3 linked regions of the Diceros bicornis minor genome follow. The protein of the gene in region 1 interacts with the protein of each later gene in a pairwise test. Links are inferred from orthologs where the notes say so. Each region holds a gene or a part of one and is shown in the gene's direction. Other genes may lie near its edges.

What was found. The genes of interacting proteins can lie anywhere in the genome.
Region 2: the proteins of TFIP11 (region 1) and ARMCX1 interact in binary tests that used the Homo sapiens proteins (3 or more experiments, as listed by UniProt). The two-hybrid records come from large-scale screens. The link is inferred for Diceros bicornis minor from reciprocal best matches to the Homo sapiens genes TFIP11 and ARMCX1.
Region 3: the proteins of TFIP11 (region 1) and TRAF3IP3 interact in binary tests that used the Homo sapiens proteins (3 or more experiments, as listed by UniProt). The two-hybrid records come from large-scale screens. The link is inferred for Diceros bicornis minor from reciprocal best matches to the Homo sapiens genes TFIP11 and TRAF3IP3.

Annotation. Positions count from the first base shown.
Region 1 is NC_080774.1:20,626,995-20,633,939, reverse strand, and holds the start of TFIP11 (tuftelin-interacting protein 11), read left to right. Parts: upstream 1-3,929; 5' UTR 3,930-3,999; intron 4,000-6,028; 5' UTR 6,029-6,037; coding exon 6,038-6,246; intron 6,247-6,945. UniProt on the Homo sapiens protein: Involved in pre-mRNA splicing, specifically in spliceosome disassembly during late-stage splicing events. Intron turnover seems to proceed through reactions in two lariat-intron associated complexes termed Intron Large (IL) and Intron Small (IS).
Region 2 is NC_080781.1:94,604,831-94,612,078, forward strand, and holds the start of ARMCX1 (armadillo repeat-containing X-linked protein 1), read left to right. Parts: upstream 1-4,233; 5' UTR 4,234-4,347; intron 4,348-6,393; 5' UTR 6,394-6,501; intron 6,502-7,248. Other genes in the region: ARMCX4 (armadillo repeat-containing X-linked protein 4), read left to right, coding at 1-1,166. UniProt on the Homo sapiens protein: Regulates mitochondrial transport during axon regeneration. Increases the proportion of motile mitochondria by recruiting stationary mitochondria into the motile pool. Enhances mitochondria movement and neurite growth in both adult axons and embryonic neurons.
Region 3 is NC_080743.1:75,798,605-75,806,456, forward strand, and holds the start of TRAF3IP3 (TRAF3-interacting JNK-activating modulator), read left to right. Parts: upstream 1-4,837; 5' UTR 4,838-4,919; intron 4,920-7,852. UniProt on the Homo sapiens protein: Adapter protein that plays essential roles in both innate and adaptive immunity. Plays a crucial role in the regulation of thymocyte development.

The DNA of each region.
Region 1 (6,945 bases):
CTGTCATTTCAAGCCACTAAGTTTGGAGTTAACTGTTACATTGTAATAGATATAATACATAGGAACCCACAAAATATTTGTTAATGAATGACTGAATGAATGAATCAATGAATAGATGAGTGATGAAGGCTGTGGTTCCTCAACTCACCTGTGTGCTTTAGAGGATGCGTGCTTTACAGATAATTCCCCAGGCCCACGGAACTTCATGTCCCAGCTTTTCTATATAAGGATAGAGTGTTCGCAAATTCTTGAAAGATAAGTAGGGTAGAAACCATCTGTAAGAAACATTTAAAGGGAAACCAGATCTGCTAATCTCAGCCGATCTGGATTTTCAATTCTGCCAAGTTCAGGGTACATTTTTGTGACAGAATTCAAAATAAGAATAAGCCATGTGCAACTGTATAATGTCACTGTCCTAGAAAAGGTACTTGTGCTAGACTTTAAATATCTCAGCTTTGAAATACCACTTACTGATTGTTTCTATGGTACCAAACTATTTAAAGTTGTAACTAGGCGAGGATTTTCCCCCCAGATCTTTTGAAGGCAATATGGAAACAGTGCTGTATGGCATAGGCCACATAAAGGGGTGATTAGGCGTGTGAACTCAGGGGGTAATAGAAACTACCTCAGAAGGTTAAGGAATCTAAGAGATGATGTATGGTTTGTCTTTGTGACTCTGAATAGACAGGAATCACTCTATAAGTATTAGCTCAAATAAGTAGAGAGAAATGGTGTGGGTGCCCCATGCATGGTACAGCAGAGGAAGCACTGGTTTGGAAGTCTGACTCCTGGGTTCCAGGCCTGGCTCTGTCTATAAACTCACTGTGTGGCCCTGGGCACATTGCCTCATCTGTGAAAAAAGAGGGAGGGACTAATGAGTGTCCGGGGGCCCTTCCAGGCTCCTGCTCAGGAGCCGTGTTGCCTAGCAACCCTTCTGGGAAGGCTACATGTCTGAGTACCTCATTGGGAATCTAGACACGGGCCTGGACGTCCCCGAGTCCCAAAGCAAGGGTTTTTCTGGGCAGTGACGAGAGACCAGGGTGGATATGAGATCCTGAATCTAAACTTCTGGCCACCTCTTTCCTTGCTTTTCCTGAGGTTGGGCATTTGAGCCCAGAAATCCTGAAAATCTACTCATCTTTGAGGCTGAGAGGCCTCCCGTGCAGAGGAATAAGACTGGGTCTTTTCAGTGGAAATAGCCACAACCATTTATGAAGCTCTTACTATACCAGGAACTTTACATGTATTAGTCAGCCTTTTTTTTTTTTTTTGTCCTAAAAATAACCCTTTTAGAGCAGTACCACTGTTATTCCCATTTTACAGGTGGGAGAACTGAGGTGCAGAGAGGTGATGGAACCTGCCCCAGGTCCCACATTCAGGAAGCAGCAAAGTGGAGATTTGGATCCTTGAAGTTTTACTCCAGAACCTTCATTTTGGAAAAAAATTCTAAGTTCATAAAGAAGACATCTTTTTCTCTTAATCATTTGAGATTGAGTTGCTTGCTGGATGCTCCACCACCCCCAAGACTTGAGTATTTCCAAAAACAAAGACACTCTCCAATGTAACCACAGGACAACCATCAAAATCAGGAAATTAACACGGACACATCACACCCTGGAAACCCCGGACCCCATTTCAATTTTGCCCTTTGTCCCAATAACTTCCTTTATAGCAAAAAGATCCAGTTCAGATTCATGTGTTGCATTTAGTTATCGTGTCTCTTTAGTTTCCTTCAGTCTGGAACAGTTCTAGGGTCTTTCTCTGACTTTCACAACATTGGCACTTTTGAAGATAACAGGCCAGATTTTGGGAGAATGTCCCCTTATTTGGGTTTGTCTGACGTATCCTCATAATTCCCTTCAGGTTATGCATCTTTGGCAGGAATATCACAAGAGTGATGCTGCGATCTTCTCAGGGCATCCTACCACGTGGTACGTGATTTTCATTTGTCCATTCTTGAGGACACACACCCTGGTCACTCGATCAGAGCCTGCAGTGACGCCACAACAGTCCACAAAGGTCTCTTCTCCAGAAGCCACATAGTGGGGTCCATTTGGTGAAGCAAACCCATCAGCCCCTCATGATCAAAGTAATTTCAGCTCCATAAAGTCTGCTGTGAAGCTACAGACATAGCTACTGAGAAGCCAAGCTTACTTCTATTTTTGGCTTTGGGCTATAAACAGAGGCATATACATTTTCAGGCCCAGACTCAAAATGGTTTATCTCATCTGTTTCCCTCAGTCTGCTGCCTAGTGGACATTTTGGTCTCTTAGACTCTGTCTCCCCGGCGTTCTCCTCTACTAAAACCTCACTTTCCAGTTTCTTTCCTAAGTACATACTTTGTGTCAGGCACAGTGACACTACATGTCACTGGGGATACAGAGACCAGTAAAGCACAGTCCCCATTCCCAGTAAGTTTTCACATATTGGGGTATATGGGGTAAGTATTTGATTCAAAACTAATTCAGCTTGAACTAAAAAAGATGCCTGCCTTTGGCCTATCAAACATACATTGTATATCTGCTTTAACCATAAAAGTAAAGCACGCACTCTCTTAAGAAAGTATCCTTCCTCTCCTACACCCTATTGGTAACGCCCATATTAGTACTCCTAAAATAAATTCCCTGTCCCGACATCAGGGTCATGTTGACCTGCTAATTTGCAACTAAATACCTCTTTGAAACTTTGATGAAAATGTATCCCGGGTGTGTTTAATATAAGTTCTTTGTTCTAAAAAGATATAAGACTGTAACAAAAACCATGTTTCTCCCCAAGGCTTTCTCTCCCCAATGCTTTCTTCCTGTCCTGAAAAGGCCTTCCCCAGCTATAACCCTCAGTCTGGCTCAAGTAAAACTCACCTCTCTCTCTTATCTATAGAATAGTTATTGGTTATTTTGTGTGAACACCAAGAACCTGGCATTTAATTGGCTTCACGGGATTCTCATTTAATTAATAACACCCACTCGAAGTTAGACCCAAATCTTTTCGCTCCAAAGCACACCAACACTTGCGTCTTGGATATTTTCATCATACGGAGGAGAGAGAGAAACAGAGCGAGGGAACATACGAAAACATTAACGGCTAACACTTCCCAAGCACCTACTGTGTACCTGGTTCAGTTTTAATTGCTTACATATTGTATCTCATTGGATCCTCAACCATTTTGCAGGAGAGAGAACTGAAGCTTCGAGAGATGGAATGACTTGCCCAAGGCCCAGAGCTGGTAAGTGGCAGAGCTGAGATTGGTACTCAGAGCCAGTGAGGGATTCCCTGGGAGGGCCGCTGCCTGGTTTGTTCATTGTATCCCCCGAGCCCGGCACAGAGTAGACAGTACATTTTTATTAGATCAGTGAATGAATGAATTTATTTATCAACCGGCTGGAAAGGAAGAGAATGGAGAGGCTTCCTGGAGGGAATACTTGGGACTTCTCGAGTTTGCCCATTCATTCCTTCACTCCCTCAAACTCCTACATAAGGCAACTGCTCTGTGCCCACGACGGGGCTTACCGGAGACCCAAGGACACAGGAGACAGTCCTGACCTTCATCATCCCCACCTGAATGCCGTGTTCCGGCCCCGCTACTGCCTCACGCGATTCCCCACAACCATCCCATGAGCCAGTCCTATACCCCCATTTTACAGATTTAGAATCCCAGACCGGCAAAGGCCACGGCGGCTCGGCGACGTCCAGCAGCCGCGACAGGCTGGGCGTCTCCACGGAGCGGGCGCGGCAGGGAGGCCAGCGCGGCCGGGAAGGCACCCCCAGCCTCTCGGGGGCCAGAACATCCGCGTCTTCTTTCTGGCGTCTCAGCCGGGCCGCTCTAGAGCCAAAGCCGCCGTAGCCTTCCGCTGCTGCCATGGCAACCAGCGCGCCACTTCTGCGGTCGCGCGACGTCATTTCCGGCGCGCCGGGCTCTGCACGTCCGGCTTCCGGCGTCCCGAGCGGCGGGGCTCTCGCGCGGAGCGGGGAGCTGTGTGTGGCCGGCGGGACCCGGGCGAGGTGAGCGGGCCGGGGGCCGGGGAGGGGGCGAAGGGGCGTCCGCGCCGGCGGGAGTGGCTGCGAGGGCTCGGGGAAGGCGGCCTCGCCGTGGGGCTTCCGTTTCGCCGACGGCTCTGCCGAGGGCGGGCCGCCCGGCGTCCCCGGGGAGTCGGGGCCGGGTCGGGCGGGGACCGAGCCTCCGCCGCGAAGTGTGCACAGCGGAGCCCGAGCCTGGGCTGAAGTCCCCGGGTGCCGAGCCCTGCCTGCCGCGGGACCTAGGGCAGGTCGTGTAACCGCGCTCAGCCTCGTTTTCCTTATCTGAAGCCTGTACGGAAACGCCGGTAGTCTCCACCTCGTGGACGGGTCTTGATGCTTGCATTATCGGCCTGAAGCGTCCAGCCAGTGCTTGGCGTGTGTGGAGGCCTCTCTAACTCGTGACAACTCTAATTATTACTCTGCCCAGCGGCGTTATTGACTCCCATGTAGCTGGGACCTCCCAGAACATCTCCCTCCTTGCACTCCTGGATGAGCGTGGGTCCACCAGCACCCAGCCAGTGCACCAGAGACTGGAACAAGCAGGGAGAACTGTGTAACAGAGCGGACCCGAGTGTGACACTGCCTGTGGCGGTAGTGAACTCCTGTCCCCAGAGGCTGCTTGCAGCAGCTGGGCGACAAGAATCACGTCGCTGTCACACAGTGAATGTATTACTGCGTAGTGCACCATGCTTGGCACTTCGTGTGCATTTAATACTCATACACTGAGTACCTGGTAGGAGTGGGATTTGAAGTCAGGCTGTGATTGTAGTACCTGATTTCACACGCACTTTGCTAGGTTCATTCCCTAATCCAGTAATAGTGATGATGATCCTAATCTTGGCACTCCAGTAACAGCTCTTGTTCCTGGAGCACTTATTCTGAGCTAAGTGTTTTTTAAGCACCATCTCATTGAATCTGACTTATAAGCATTCTCAAAGGTTGGTATAGTAGTTAATCCATTTAAGAGACAGCTAAATCTCATCACCCAGCTACCAAGAGTTGAATTCTCTATTCCAACCCATAGATGTCTGACTGCTAAGGTAGTGTTCATAATTAAGACTGCCTTCCAGCTCATCAGAGGAAAACTAAGTCTTAGGGTTTCATCATCAAGTAATGTATTTCAGAAAGCTTATTCTCAAATATCACCCTCCTGGGACTGCCAAGGGTCCAGTATAACTCTTTCCTCAATGATAGAAAAAATAATAAAGTGTAGGGTCCTGGAAGATGACCACCCAGTTTTGGAGGCAATAATATATAGAATAACATACTTATTTAGTTATTTTTGTGTGGTTTGTGTATATGTGAGTGTGTGATTTTTATGACATTGGGACTAGGAAATACATGCTTGAGAATCACGTAGACTGTTGGGACTAGTCTTTTCTTCCATCTGTTATCGTACCGATTGTTTTCTAAATGTTTATGCTGAGGAAGATTCGCCCTGAGCAAACATCTGTTGCCAATCTTCCCTTTTGTTGTATGTGAGCTCCCACTATAGCATGGCCACTGACAGACAAATGGTGTGGGTCCACGCCTGGGAACCAAACCTGGGCTGCCAAAGCAGAGCATGCAGAACTTAACCACTAGGCCATCAGGACTGGCTCTGTTCTATTTTTGCTGAGGAAGATTTGCCCTGAGCTAACATCTGTTGCCAATCCTCCACTTTTCGCTTGAGGCCCTGAGTTAACATCCTTGCCTATTTTCCTCTATTTTGTACATGGGTCGCTGCTACAGCATGGCTGACAAGTGGTGTAGGTCCGCACCTGGGATCCGAACCCACGAACCCAGACTGCCGAAGCGGAGTGCACCAAACTTAACCACTAGGCCACTGGGGCTGGCCCTTGTTTTCTAAAATAAGGTTTTAACGTCTGCTTTGTTGAATTTTAACAACGGTTTTAAGGGACCGTGAGTTTGGAGGAAGTTCTGAAGGCAGCAGGGAGTAGGACTCACAGGGAATCCTTCTCCTGCTATGCCCAGGACTCATCACAGACTGTGCCTTTTTCATCCCTTCCTTTAGTGACTGGCCATGTCACTGTCCCACTTGTACCGGGACGGGGAAGGCCACATGGATGACGATGAGGACGAGCGGGAGAACTTCGAGATCACCGACTGGGATCTCCAGAATGAATTCAACCCCAACCGGCAGCGCCACTGGCAGACCAAGGAAGAGGCCACCTATGGAGTGTGGGCAGAGCGGGACTCGGACGAAGAGAGGCCCAGCTTTGGAGGCAAACGGTACTGGCCGGCATGGGGCTGCCTCCTCTTGCTTTAGGGAAGACGGAGAGGGAGTGGGGGAGATACCCCCATAAATATACTTCTCTCCTGGCCTTACTGAGCCCCTGCGCTATGACATCAGCTAGGGAGGTCCTGTTTCCTCTTTAGGCTAGAGGGCTGCTCCTTCACTGATTTGATCATCAGTTGGTGTCTGTTGAGTGATTACGTGTATTAGGCATTGCGCTATAGACTCAGTCCTTGCCTTTCAAGATCCCAGACTCGAGTGGATGGAGACAGGCGTTAATTAACAACTCACACAATGGAAGTTCGTAACTGATTTAGGACCTAAGGGAGAGCACGTTTTAGGGTGTTGGACCTATTTGGAGAGGTCAGGAAGATTTCTCTGGAGAAGCCATCCTTGAGCTGAATGAAAGAACGTAACTAGGGTAGGAGAGGTGCGGGTAAGCAAAAACCCTTAACGGGAGGCCACAGGGTATATCCGCGAGGACGCGAAAGGCTTTGCGGGCTGGAGTGGAGAGAGGGAGGGGAGCACAGTTTGAGAAGAGGCCGAGGGTCTGTGGTAGAGGTGTGGCGTGGGGCGGGGCTGTGTCTGCACCCTTGGCTGGTGTGCAGAGTTGTCGTGGAGTCACAGTGGAAGATGGAGCTGTGTGAGGAGGCGGTGGTCCCTGCAGAGGGGGAGGCCTGGGCTAGGAGGGGGCA
Region 2 (7,248 bases), on another chromosome or scaffold:
GTTTAAGGTCTTTGTTTTGGGCTGAGAGTGAGAACAGTAATGAGTCCAGATCCAAGAGTGAGAAAGATGTCAATTCTGAGTGTAAGGCCAGCACCAAGGATAAACTTGAGGCTGCTGGTGGAGTCGATGTAAGGTCTTGGTTCTGGGCTGGTAATGAAAACAGAAGTGAGGACAAATCTACACCTAAGACTAAAGCCAAAAAGTCAGCTGAGTCAAGAGGCACATATCCGTCCATGGTCCCTGGGGCAGGAATGGGGTCATGGGCAGGAGCCATGATCTGGACAGAAATGAAATTCCCATACCAAAATGACTCCTGCTTCCCACCTGAAGAGGAACTCAGAAAGCAGATCAGGTCTGGGGAGAAAACTCAGCCCTGGGCCTGCCGCTGTAAACGTGAAGCTAATATGGATCCACGAGAACTTGAAAAACTCATTTGCATGATTGAGATGACTGAAGATCCTTCTATTCATGAAATAGCCAATAATGCTCTATATAACAGTCCTGATTATCCATTTTCCCATGAAGTCATTCGTAATGCAGGTAAAATCTCAATTATTGAAAGCTTGCTCAATAATCCCTACCCCAGTGTTAGGCAGAAGGCTTTAAATGCACTGAATAACATCTCAGTGGCTGCTGAAAATCATAGGAAGGTTAAAACGTACTTAAATCAAGTATGTGAAGACACCATCACTTATCCCTTGAATTCAAATGTGCAGCTGGCTGGACTAAGATTGATAAAGCACCTGACTATTATTAGTGAGTATCAGCATATGGTGACAAATTATATTTCAGAATTTCTTCGTTTGTTAACTGTGGGAGGTGGAGAAACTAAAGACCATATTTTGGGAATGCTTTTGAATTTCTCTAAAAATCCATCTATGACAAAAGACTTACTCATTGCTAATGCACCAACATCACTGATTAATATCTTTAGCAAGAAAGAGACAAAAGAGAATATTCTTAATGCTCTTTCACTATTTGAAAATATAAATTATCATTTCAAAAGAAGAGCAAAAGTATTTACCCAGGACAAGTTCAGCAAAAATTCCCTTTATTTCGTATTCCAACGACCTAAAGCATGTGCCAAGAAACTTCGAGTCTTAGCAGCAGAATACAATGACCCTGAGGTGAAAGAAAGAGTTGAACTGTTATTAAGTAAACTCTGATTAGTTTTATGTTTCCAAACAAAGCTGAGTAATATTTTGGTTTTGCAGACTGGAAATAATGCACATTGTAAATTGCATTATAACTTCAAAACTGATGTTACTTATGATGGTCTATAGTTGGACCACTTTATGAACACCAAATGAATTCAAACTTGTACTGAAAATACATGTGTTGATTTTACCTTGTCTGGATTGAGATATTTTTAGTATGCTTCATGAGCAGAAACTGAACTGATTCTTCATAAGTAAGGTAATCTTTGGTCCTTTGTGTGGACTTATGTTTATATATTTGAGACTTTATTTTTATGTCATCAATAAAGTTGTGTGTTTTAAGCAGAAAAAAAGAGACATGTCTTTGTCCTTGAGTGTATGATCTATTTGGAAAGACAAGATGTATGGAAAAAAAAGATATTAACAAAACCGGGAGCCTCTGATCATGGCCAGCTGCTTCCTATTAGTGCTTACAGGTGGCAGAAACTTCTGCAGGCAACAGTGCTCAGGGAAAGTTTTACAGAGGAGGGGACACTTAAGTAAGCTAGGCTTGAAGGATTGGATAATAATGGGGCAAAAGGGCATTGGAGGAGGGAGGAGTGGCGGGAAGAAAGGCATGGAGGTGGGAATCCTGCTCCAGAGAGGAGGCTGGGCTGCCTGGAGCGCAACGTGTGGGGAGGGGAGTGATGGGAAATACGGTCTGGCAGTTGGGGTGAGTCCCATTCGTGGAGGATCCCTGACTGCTAAACCGAGATGCCTGCGTATCACTCCATCCACCCCTGGGAGACACCAAAGCCTTTCGTGACCAGAGGAGTGACAGGATGAAAGTAAAACGGTGTGGCTGATTTCTGTGCAGGATGGGTTGGAGTTGGGGGTGGGGACAGGAGTGGCCACTGGAGATTGGAACACCACTTAGGAAGTTACCACCATCGTCCAGGCGTGAGATGATAAAGGCGTGAAATTTCACTGCTGGCCGTGGGAATGGTAAGGGGAGGAAGGAAGTGAGAGACCCTCTGAAGGAAGAAGTTCTGGAACCTATTCTGGGGGCATACAGAGAGGGACAGTTTTCTTTTAGGGGCCTGGGGCCATTTGACAGGAAAACGTCCTCTTTCTTGGCCAACTCTTGGTGTCTATGTAAGTGAATACGTTAGTTATTATTTTGAAATCAGAAAATATACTAGAAGAAAGAATAATTTTTAGTGCTTCTATCAGATTACTTTTATAAGGTTGGTTGGGGCAGGATCTTTATGGAACCATCACGAGGGCTGTTGGTATCCATACTGGAGAAGATCCACAACTCTCCCACCCCAGAGGGTGGTGAGGGTGTGTGGGGAGGGGCACTCTCAGACTGTGCTGGTGGGAGCCTACACTAGGACGAGGTCAATTTGGATACATGTTTCAGAAGCCTTCAAGATGTGTGTGCTCTTTGACTCAATAATTCCACTTGTAGAAATTCATCCTTAGGAAATAATCCAATAATTGGCTTATACAAGGCTGTGCATCTTTTCACTGTTTTGAAGATTGAAAAATCATCAATGACCCAAGTGTCTTAAAATAGGCATTTGGCTAAGCAAATTAGTGTATGTCTGCACATTGAAACATTATGCAGCTCTTGAAATGTTGATGGGCATCTACACGTATTTACTTGGAAAAAATTCAGCATATAATCTTAAGCGAGGAAAATAGGCTGCCAAAGCACATGCCATACTTTTTACGAAGAAAAAGTATATATTTAAATTATCTCTATGTATAAACTTTGGTGTATACTCTGAGAATGTTAGTTGTTTCCTATGGGTGTTAGATTAATGGTGATCGTATCTGTTTTTTACTCCTCTGTATTTTCTGATTTTTATATAATAAACCAGGATTTTTTTGCATAATTTATCAAAAGGAATCGGATGGATTCAGGCTAAGCAGACTTTTCAATAGCATATCAGAGGACTAGAGAAAAAGTATAAATGGAGGCTCACATATTTATGTGTAAATATTTGGAAGGTATAAAAAATATTATAAATAAATATTATTTAAAAAAAGCTGTAAATGTAAGTGCAAATGTTTGGAAATTTAAACTTTAGTAACTGTGTTAAAAGTAAAACTGTTCTCAATTCTAGCATTTGATGGCCACCAACTTTCTAGTGGAAAAAATGATGTCAAACTTGTGGATTCTGCAATCTGCTGCCCTAATCTTCCTTCGGGAATAGAGGGCTTATTATTTCAGTTACTAGGAGTGCTCTTCCAAGGTCATACCCCCTTCCTGGGGTACTTCCCATCCAATGACTGATCAACATGGCCTTCTTGCCCCAAATGAGACAGCTTAACTTTTCCCTCCGTCCAATTCTGCTTCCTTCTTTTCCCTTCCACAGGTGTTGATCCCAAGAGCATTCCCTAATAAAAGCCCTTCATGCTGAACTCTGTGTCTGAGTCTGCTCTCCAGGAAGGCAAGCTACAACAGTTGGTATGAGAAGTGGTTCAGGAAAGCATACACTGTGATGAAATTTTGGAGGTGGATCATCTGCTGCCCAGCTGGCAATGAGGACCCCATCATTGGTGGTAGGTGGAGTAGATAGGCACCTAGAACAGGTGGCAGAGGAATTGTTAGAGCTTTCACTGGTGGTGAACTGGGATAGCACTGGTGAAGGGAATGCATTAACTGGTGCCAGGTAACAGCTTTGAGAAATATGTGGGAAATATTAAATATAAAGAAGGCCATAGGGCCGGCCCCGTGGCTTAGCGGTTAAGTGCTCGCGCTCCGCTGCTGGCGGCCCGGGTTCGGACCCCGGGCGGGCACCTACGCACCGCTTGTCAGGACATGCTGAGGCCGCATCCCACATACAGCAACTAGAAGAATGTGCAACTATGACATACAACTATCTACTGGGGCTTTGGGGGGAAAAATAAATAAATAAAGTTTAAAAAAAAAATAAAGAAGGCCATAAAATTGGGTGGCTATTGCTAAGCTTGATTAATCTGTAGAAAAAAATAATGAAAAGCTGAATTAAGTTAATCAACAATTAAAAGCTATATGTGAAAGCCTGAGGGCTTTATTTATAGCATATAATGAGGTCCTCATCTTTTCCAGGTAGAGGGTACAGAAATCTGAGGACCAGGCTCAAGACTTATTGAAAGCAAGCTTCAAAAAAGTTAAAATCCCAACCAAGTCAAATCTGCTGTGTCAAGATCAGGGTCCTAGGTAGGAAGGAATGGGGACCCTCACATATGGTATGGGGACATCTGGATTGATATCCCTAAAAATCTTGTATCCTGAGATTTCCCTGAACTGCTTGAGCATTCAGAAGTGTCCCACTCCTTCCTTTTAAGGGCTAGAACTTCATTTTGCTTGAACATGCAGAGCCTTTGTAAGATAACGTGTGTTTCCCTCAGAATCTGCCTCAACCTCCCATCCTGGCTGCTGGGCCTATATCTAGGGTTAAGTCACAGTGTAACCTCATTGGGGTTGTGCTGGGCCTCATAAGGAAGGAAAGGGAATACCCCAAGAAGGAGCTGTGGGACCTAGCCAGCGTGTACTAGCAGGTGCTGAGGGAGTAAGCATGGGACTGAATTCTGAGGGCCTTGATCAGGGGAGCTGGAATATAAAATTGAATAAAGGAGAATTAATTGATTTGAGAATTCTCTCCCAAGATAGAGGATTGAACACCCTGGGAAAGACCCCAGGAGACCATGTGAACTCACTACTAGAATGGCTCCTCAAAGTATGGAAAAAACAATGGCCCATATTAAGTGAGGTATGAATGCCAGAGTTTCCATAGCAGATGATGGGAGAAGGGATTAAAGGCTCAGGGAAGTGGGAATGATAGAATAAATGTATGTAAGGCCAGAAAACCCTCCTGAGGACTATGTTCTGCAGGTAGACCCAAAGGGTACGCCATTTGCCAAAGCTGTAAAGAATGCACCTGTGAGAGGGGCACCAGCATCACTTAGAAGTTCAGTGGTGGCTCGCCTCTGCAGGCCAGGGCTCAGAGTAGGAGAGGATGTTACAGGATGAGGGTAACTGATAGAAATGGCGATGGCTCTGAAACAATAGAGGCAGGATGACTGTACTCAACTGTCAGATGTTAGGTAGATGCAAATACCATAATGTACCACAGGGTCAGAGTGGCAGGCAGAGAGGCCTGACCTGCAGAGAGCTGTGGAGCTGGTTAATATAACACAGTGCCCCTGCCGAATAGATGGTTAAGAGGTAGTTAATAGAATGCAGGTGGTTAATATAACAGTGCCTTGGGGAAAATAGGCAGCCAACAATCTATACAATCAAAAGAAATCAAAGATGATCAAGAGTCTGAGAGAAGTTGCCTCAATAAAAAGTCACAATCCCTTGGCCAGCTTCTGGTCCTAAGTCATTTTTTGATCTAGAACTCACTGTTTGAAGGAGAGGCTGGGTTCCCAGAAAGAAGGACCCTATAACATATATGTAGTAATGATTCCTCCAGTTTTTCCATTTACTCAGGTAACTGTGCACTGGGAAAAGAGGAATACCCAAACATTTTGAGGACTGATGGTCACTGGTTCTGAGTTGATATTGATACTCAGAGACCTAAAGTGTCATCATAGTCCCCCTGTTAGAATAGGGTCAGATGGGAGCCTGGTATTAAATGGGCTCCTGGCCTAGTTCACAGTGGTTCTACTGGGTCCACAGACTCACCTGGTAGTTATTTTCTTGGTCTAGGAATGTATAATTGGAATAGATATTTTGATAGTTGGTACAAGCCCCATGTTGTTTTCTTGGCCTGTGGAGTCAGAGCTATTTGTAGATGAGAAGGCCAAGTGAAAGTTTCTGAAACTGCCCTCTACTTCCTCGGCCAAGATAGTAAATGAAAACGTACAGCATCCTGGGGAGGACGGCAGAAGTTAGTACCACCTTTAAAGACCTAAAGAATGCCGGGGTGTGGTCTCACCATCATATCTTTATTTAATGCACCAGTTTGGGCTTCTGCAAAACGTGGACAGAGCCTGGTATATGACAGTAGACTACTGCAAACTCGACCAAGTGGTGACACAAGTGCAGCTGCCATGTCAAATATGCTGTCTTTGCTAGAGCAGAATGACATGGCCTTAGGTACCTAGTAATTAGCTATTGACTTGGAAAATGTGTTTTTTCCTATCCCTCTCAGAGTGGAACATCAGAAAAAGTTCACATTCGCATAGAATGGGCTACAGTATACATTTATAGTTTTTCCTCAAGGCCCTACTAACTCTCCTGTCCTCTGTCATAATATAGTCTGAAGAGATCTGGACTATCTGAATATAATACTAGTCCACTATGTTGATGACATCATGCTAATTGAACCAAAAGGAGTAAGAAGTGGATAGCACATTGGAGGCCTTGGTAAGACACATGTACACCAGAGGATTGGAGATAAACCCTATAAAGATCAAGGGGCTGGCTACATTAAATGCAGTTTTTATGGATTGAATGGTTTGGGGCATGCCAGGAGATTCCCTCTGAAGTAAAGGACAAATTATTGCATTTTTCACCTTCCCCACGAAGATGGAATCCCAACGTGTGGTAGGCTTCATTGCGTTCTGGAAGCAGCAGATTTCATACCTGGAATTATTGTTTCGACCCATGTACTGGGTGACACAAAAAGCTGCCAGCTTTGAGTGGGCCCTAGAGCAAGAGAAGACTCTATAGCAGGTCCAGGCTGCAGTTTCAAGCAGTCCTGCCACTTGGCCCATATGATAGATAGACCCTAATGTATTAGAGGTATCTGTGTTGGCAAAAGTTGCCATATGGAGTTTTTGGTAAGCCCTAATGGGAAAGTCACAGCTTAGTCAAGAACTTAGGTTCTGGAGCAAAGCCATACCACATGCAATGGAGAATTATGTACCTTTTGAAGACAGTTTCTGGTATGCTACTATGTCCTGGTATAGATGGAATGCCTGGCCATAGGACATCATGTGACCATGCAAGTGACTATGCAGCCAGAACTGCCCATCATGAGCTGAGTTGTGTCAGATCCACCAAGGTGTAAGAGTGGGCAGGCCCAGCAACAAGATGGAAGTTTTATACACAGGATCAAGCACAAGCAGAACTGGAGGACACAAGCACCTGCACAATCAGCTAGAGTGGATC
Region 3 (7,852 bases), on another chromosome or scaffold:
GGTAATGGTTCTGACTGCCTAGGCTATCATGCAAAAACAATATATAAGTGAAGTAAGTGAAAGCATATTTTAGTGAATAAAAGCTTCATATTTTTAATTTTTTTTAATGATTTTGGAAGCTCAGTAATTTACGGAAGTATATTGTTTTTAAATAAATAATGTGGCTTTTAGTGATAAACTAAGAGTTCTCAGACTCCTATTATCAGACAACTCACACACACACCAGAGAGAGGAGGGTGGTGCTTTAATTGAGACCTAAAAAGCAGTAATTTTTAAAGTTTAGAAAGGAGTATTGCATACCGAGGGGATAAGCCATTATGATATCTGACTCAGAAGTAAGCCTTATTTTATACTCTGGCAGGCCCAAGGGGACACAAACTGAAATGAAGGTGAAACGAGAAGACTTAAGTTGCTCTGAGGATTAACACATGGTTTTTCCTTTTGGTCCAAATGGAGATGAATACCTGGGAAGCCCTCCCTCCTTTTTCTGGTCTACCTTACTCTTTCCTGTTCTGTCTGTTCTATAACACACACACACACACACACACACACACACACACACACACCACTCCACCCCCTCCCTCAGGCCTGAAGTTTCATCCCATCAGGGCCCTTCAAGGTCAAAGCTGGTAAGACCACCCTTCTCAGCAGCCTAAGATGCAAAGTAACTTGTCTTTCTCAATGCTGGGACCCGCAAGAACAGATGTGCAGTTAGTTGTGCCTTAGGGTTAGGCCTTTCAGATTCTTAGCATCTGTACAACAGACAAATCTGCTAATATTGATAATCTGTTACAGCATAATTTTGAGGTTTTATTATAGTAAAAAGTCCTCTATCAACAATGATGACACAAAGCAACAAAGAGAAGAAAAGAACTGAGAACTCTGTCCTGCCACAAGTGTGAAGTCATAACTCCATTGTAGAGAGGCAACCTTGCAAATGTAGGAGTTAAGGAAATAGTTATCTTCTTCCTGATGAGTTTAGACTGTATCACCTCTGAGAAGGAATATTTGTCCTTGGGATGTTTGTGTGGACATCTGATTAAACAGTTGCCAGGTAGACACTTGAAAGACTAAAGAGGAGAGTCTACAGAGCCAGCCCTGATGGCCTAGTGGTTAAAGTTCAGCACGCTCTGCTTTGGCAGCCTGGGTTCAGTTCCTGGGTGCAGAACCGCACCACTTGTCTATCAGTAGCCATGCTGTGGTGGCAGCTCACAGAGAAGAACTAGAAGGACTTACAACTAAAATATACAACTATGTACTGGGGCTTTGGGGAGAAGGAAAAAAAAAAGAGGAAGATTCGCAACAGATGTTAGCTCAGGGTGACTCTTTCCCAGGAAAAAAAAAAAGAGACGAGTCTGCAAGTCACTGGTTGGGGAGAAGTTGAACAAGAACAGACTTAAATGTGCCTATCCTGAGCCACTCTGCAGGACTTGGAGTTCCAAGTTCCCCTCACCAACCCCTCCTGCCACCTTCTGCAAAACTTGGGGTGACAAGGCCACCCCAGGCTATCCTGTTAACAGTGTCTGCGGCATTGTTCTAGAATGAATAACTTAGACTTGAAGAATGCATTGCTGAGAAAATGTTGGAGGGAGTGTAGTGGGGGATTCTAAGGCAAAAACAATTCTTATGGGCAAGGTTGCCATTTCCCGAAAGATGAATAGGGGAGTCATCCAGTAGGGTGGGAGGGGGAACAAGATTAGAACTAATAGCTCCCATGTGGGGACCTCCATAAAGAGTTTGACTTCTTGGTGTTATTTCTTAGAGTATGGGATAAGTCATAGTAGCACACAGTTTAAATGTTTTCCTTTCACAATTGGAATTCCCTTCAGTTACCCCAACCCTAAAATAAAATCTGATGATCCCATACATACTTGTTTGATGCTGTGAAGAGCAAAGCAACAGAGCTGTAAGGCAAAGTGATGCTTATCCTATATTTACTCCTCATGGGAGCCCACAGAGGACCCGAATCTATTAAGGAGACCATGTCCTGATGTTCCAGGATATGACCATCAATAAAGAGAGCCAAGGTCCCAGTGGACCTGGAAATGGTAAGAAGTACAGAGTGCTGGCCAGTAAATGCCACGTGACCAGCTCAAGAGGTGCCTGATCTAAATCCTCCTCTGTACTAGCCTATGCTAGAGGAAGGGGACCATCAGGGAGAGGCAGGCTGATGATTAGACTATATCTCTACTTGAGACTGATTTGGTAAATAAAGTTTTCTTAAATTCATTTTATCCAGATTTTCAAAATATTACCTTAGTTACACAAATGACTGTAAAAGTATTTTCATGTCCACTGTATGATAGTTACTTCCATGTACCATTCATAAATGTTTACAGATGTGCTTTCTCTCTTTTAAAGTGATTTGGCTAGCTGGTAGTTTATTTCATTGATTTTGTTTTCTATTGGTATTTCTACCTTTCCCCACATACAGACACAAGAACTAGCTCCTGGTATTCAATAGATAATTGAATTTATTTATCAATTCTGCTCTGAATTCTAACTTATTATATTGCTTTCTCTTTTTACCTTCTTTTTATTCTCACTTTCTTTCCTTGATTTTCCTGACTACTTTTTAGAAATTTGTTTGAAAATAAATAGCTAATTTATTTTTAATATTCCTTGTTTAAGTAATGAAAATATTTAAGACTATGAATTTCCCTTGGGTCATGCCTTGGCCATACCTCACAGATTTTGTTCTTAATGTTCTCGTTAGCATTGTTTTCAAGGCATTCTTTTTTGTGTGTGTGTGAGGAAGATTAGCCCTGAGCTAACATCCGTTGCCAATCCTCCTCTTTTTGCTAAGGAAGATTGGCTCTGAGCTAACATCTGTGCCCACCTTCCTCTACTTTATATGGGACACTGCCACAGCATGGCTTGACAAGCGGTGCGTTGGTCTGTGCCTGGGATCCTAACCTGTGAACCCCGGGGCTGCTGAAGCGGAACGTGCGAACTTAACCGCTACACCACGGGGCTGGCCCCTCAAGGCATGCTTAATTCCAGATTTGGTTTCCTCTATATTTCAAGAGTAAACCAGGAGAATTTTTTTTCCAAGAGGTTGAAGTGTTTATTTCTTCCCAGTTTTGTTATTTATTTCTAATTTTATTGTACTATGGTTGGGGAATTCTGCTGTAACAGATTAACTTGTTTTTTTAAGGTACTGGGGTTTGCTTTATGATCAATACAGTCAATTTTTTTGACGCTTCATGGGCATTTGAAAATAAGGTATATTCTCTAGTTTTAGTTTTCTCTGTGTGTGTATGTGTCTCTTTCTCTCCATATAGATAGATAAGTATGACAACCTTATTAATTGTATTGTTCTCACAACATAGTGTTAACAGCTCAGGCTCTGATGTCAAGCAAACTTGGGTCCAACACTTGCTGTGTTACCTTGAGCAGACTGTTAACCTCTCCAAACCCCAGTTAAAGTGGGTGTGGTATCCCATTGAGTGCATAGCCCTAAAAGGCATTTTGATCTTTGCACACACTTCTTTTTGACTTTTAATGGATTCCAAATAGTTGGTCCATAGTACCTCCTGTTATAACCTCCTGTCCTCTCCTATGCTCTGGTGCCCTAAACTCCCAGGACCCTCTCACTAGTCTTCTAAGCCAATAAAATTCTCTTATTCACCACCTTGGGCTCCCTAACCCCTCTGTCTTCTACTCATTCCCATCACCATATACCAAGCTCCAGACACAGGACCTTAGGCTCTTGTCTCTCTTCCTGAGGGAACGTCATTTGCCTTCAGTTCTAGTGCTTGAGAATCCATCCTCTGTGCTTTTCCCTGCCTACTCCTTGCCCTTTTTCTCCTCAGAGAATGGGGGAAGTAGCAGGCAATGAAGAAGATTGTGACATACTCCCACGTGTTAATGACTGTTATCCTATCACAGCTATTTAAAAATCTCATTGCACGCCTCACACATGTCAAGCCTTAGAATTCATAGGAGCCATATAAATCATCCAGCTACCATAATGAGTGGACCATGCAGACAAGGTGAATTGCACAAGGTTATAAAACTACTCAGTTAACTTACCCCAATCCAATTCTCTCTGCACTATCTTGTTCTGAACTTCTTGGGAATTTCCTGACAATATCATTTGTAGTGGTTTCTTTTTAATGCACAAAGATCAGTTCCTTCTAGTTTTTCCCCAAATTTCCTAGTCCAATTGACTAGGAAACTTTTTTTATAAGATTCTGCCTGCTGCTGCTCCCTTCATTCCCCAGTCACCCACCCACCACCTTTTCACCTCCTCCTCATTGCTCCAGAAAGGAGCAAATTCAGAACTGGCCTCATTCCAGAATTCTGAAAAAGACACCAGGTACTTTAGAAGAGTAGAAACTTTTTACAATACCAGGATTGGGAAGAGGCAACAAAAGGAAAATCCTTACACAGAGAACTACCTGACACACAAGAAAAGCTACACAGGGAACATCTCTTCAAGGTCAAAAATGCATTTTTTCCCCTCATAGAAACTGCAAGGTTTGAATCTGATCCAGAGGCCCATCCTTGTCCGCTCCTGGAAAGGAATCTTGACTGGAAACTGTCCGCGAGCTAAGACCAACCCAATAGCAAGAAGAAGGGTGGCTGGGGTGCCCAATGATGGGAGGAGCTCCTGAGCCCAGCGCTGGAGGCCTCAAGGGTTCAGGGGCCCCCTCAGACCGTGCCAGAGAGCAAGAGAGAGGAACTGGGGTGAGCAAGCACTGTGGCTTTGTCTGTTTCCGGTTTCAGCAAGGCTGCTGTGCGAAAAAAAAAAAAGACAGTACCAAGAAGGGAAATGCTAAGGGGGCCCAGAGCCATGGATTGAGAGCTTGTACTTTACACAGCTGCTGTCTTGCCCCATCTGAAACCAGAGCCAAGATCTGCCCAGGAGCTGGAATGCTTTCCTGAGCTGCTTGGGTTGGAGCCTGGGACCCAAGGTAACTGAGGAGGATGCTTTTGCATCCAGGTTTGGGAGCTCTAATTCTGGGGTGGGGCAGAAGACTCTGTCATCCAAGCTTCCCCAGGCTGAAGAGGGAGACACAGGGGTGAATGGCGTAGTTTAAGAGTGCTGGGGGTTGGGTAACCAAAGAAGCCTCCTGTGTTGGTTTCCAGGGGCACTAGCCACGGCGCAAGGGTACAGCTTCCATCACTCTACGTTCCATCTATTGGATTAGATTACAGGTGAGTCAAATGACTTAGAGTTCAGGCTACCCAGCGAGAGGGGCATAAATTCAATGATCTCTCATAGTTCCCCTCAAAGCAGGGACCCCCATAACATGAAGCTGCCTTTCCAGGTCCCTCTCTCCTCAGCTCACACTGAGAGCTCTGGACTAGGAAGCCCAGACCCATGTAGGAAGCCATTCATTGCAAACACAGCCAGGAAGTAGGAACAGAGACTTGGAAAGGCAGCAACAAACCACTGTCAGGTGAAGGGCAGTGCTCTGATCTCTCCCTGCGGCAGTGAGGAGAGCTTCCCCCAGCCAGTACTACCTCTTCCCGGAGCTCCAACTGGGCTCTGTCACGACGCCAAGAGGCACCCCACAGATGCCAGAAAGCCTGGGCAGTGGCCCAGTGACCTTTCTTTGAACTACACAGGGGCCAGTTCCTTTTTCTTCTATGGCCCATCCCCATCAGTCAGCCGTCCCACATGGCTTCTTGTGTTTAAGCAAATCAGAACAGTCAAGACATCCCGGAAGGCTGGGTGTGATTCCGCTCGGCTGTGCCACAACAAATCCCACCAGGTGTGAGGGTCTAGGGGTCTGAGAAGGCTCCCTTTTCTAAGGAGCCATTTCTACTCCAATTCCCCACTTGGGTAATAAGTCCCAATATCTGCCTCTCAGGAAGCAAAGCAGGACAGCCATATGTCTCAGTGGACTAGTATAGACAGCCTGGTCGAGAGCCCACGGAGAACTTATCTCAGGCTCCATCTCCTCCCCCACAACCCTTTCTTCTTCACGGCAGGAAGGCAGGAAGATTCTCCATAATCAGAGGATCTGCCTCCTCTACAAAGCCTGCAGATTACCTGGAGCCAAACAGAGAGGGGACTTAGCGTCCCACATTTTAATGGTGGCATGTAGGCAGGCTGGACACCAATTCTTCACTCCCATCTCTTCTTCGCCTTTCTCCTGGGACTAATGAAGATAGTGGTTTTGTCCAGACCACAGAGAAGTCTTTTCTCCATGTAGCCCAAACCCAGAGGTCAGATGAACCACAGCAGTAAATATGATTTCAACCCGGGGCCAGCATCCCCTCCGTACAGTAAACAGTACCCCTTCAAAGAGAAAGGAGGTGGGCGAGTTAGAGGATGAGGCATTCTTGGTCCTAGAAGTGCAAGGTTAGCTTGGGACCTTTGTCTTATAGCACTGAGTCTTCAATATCCAAGATCAGCAGGACAGGGATAATAATAATCATAGCTTATGTTTATTATTATTATTATAGAAAGCTAACACTTATTGTGTGCTATGTGCCAGATGCTATGTGTGCTATGTGCCAGACGCTTGACGTGCATTTTCTCTTTAATCCTCATAACCTTATGAGGTAGGTTCCCATTTTATAAATGAGGAGACAGAGGCTTAGAGATGTTTAATAGCTTGTTTAAAAGCACATAGGTAGTAGATGACAGAGCCAGGACATGTATCCACATAGTCTGAGTCAAGAGCCAGGGCTCCCCCTCCTTCCCCATCTACGGCAGAAGAGCCAGGAGCTACGGCTTGGATGCCGCAAGGGTAGATTCTGGACATTGAGTTCGCCAGCACTTAATCCTGAGTCTCCTCCATCCAGTCATTTATAACTTAATATGGATGGGCCTCTCAGATCCTTTTCTAAGGTTTTAAAGAAAGAAAGTGGCAGCATTGTGATAAGTGAGATAAGTCAGACAGATAAAGATGAATACTTCTCAGACAGGTAATGTGGACATGTCCTCAGCAGAGCTAGAAGTCATCAGAGTCCTAACTAAGGTGCTGAGGTATCTGTAAGGCCAGAGATCCCAGGAGTCTGCTGTGATTTTTAGGTACAAAGATATATGTACAATTGGCAATAATTGCCAAATTATTTCCAGAAAAGATACACCAAAATGAAACCTCAACTTCAACAATTTTGAGTATCTAACTCACTCTAACCTAACCAGCATAGAATATGATAATTTTAATTATCTTTGCCAATTTTGGAGAAAGTAATTAATGCCTTTGCTGTTGTAATTTGAATTTGATTGATTTTATGTTAGCTTGAACTTTAAAATAATCTTGTTGATGATTTTCGTTGCCTCTTTTGTTAAATGTCAATTCAAAGTGTTCTTAATGATTTGCTTATGCCTTATATGGCTGATATTACTTTTTGTATATTTAATAACTGCTTCTCAATTTGTAAAAAAAAAAAAAAAAGAAAGTGACAGGTGGGAAGATAGGGGACCCCTACAGAGTCAGAGTGAGGAGAAAAGCCTAAAGAAAGGGGAGAGCCACCCAGGGATGGGATGAGAGGACAAGCATTGACAACCTCACAGTTCTGCTTGGGTCAGCACTGCCCAAAACCAGAGTCTGCCCCTCCAAGCCTCGAGAGTCAGTTGAGCGTGTGCAGGGCTTGACCATGTAAGACCCCTCTCAGGGAGTGAGACTGCCCCACCCATGAGCCTGGGGAATCGGTGGTATGATCAGAGAGAGAGCAAGAACCCTGCAGAGAACTCCAGACTGAGCCAGGATGGACAGTGAAGTTCCAGTGAAGGGGCAGAGAGGCTGCTACCTGTTGAGTCTGTTGGCCTATAAATAAACCCAAGGGGCTAGAGCTGGCAAATGCCTGCTGGTTGGTGAAGCTGAGATACCCTTCTCTGACCTACCCAGGAACTAAGGTTTCCAGGGTGGTGGGTAGTGAGGTTGTG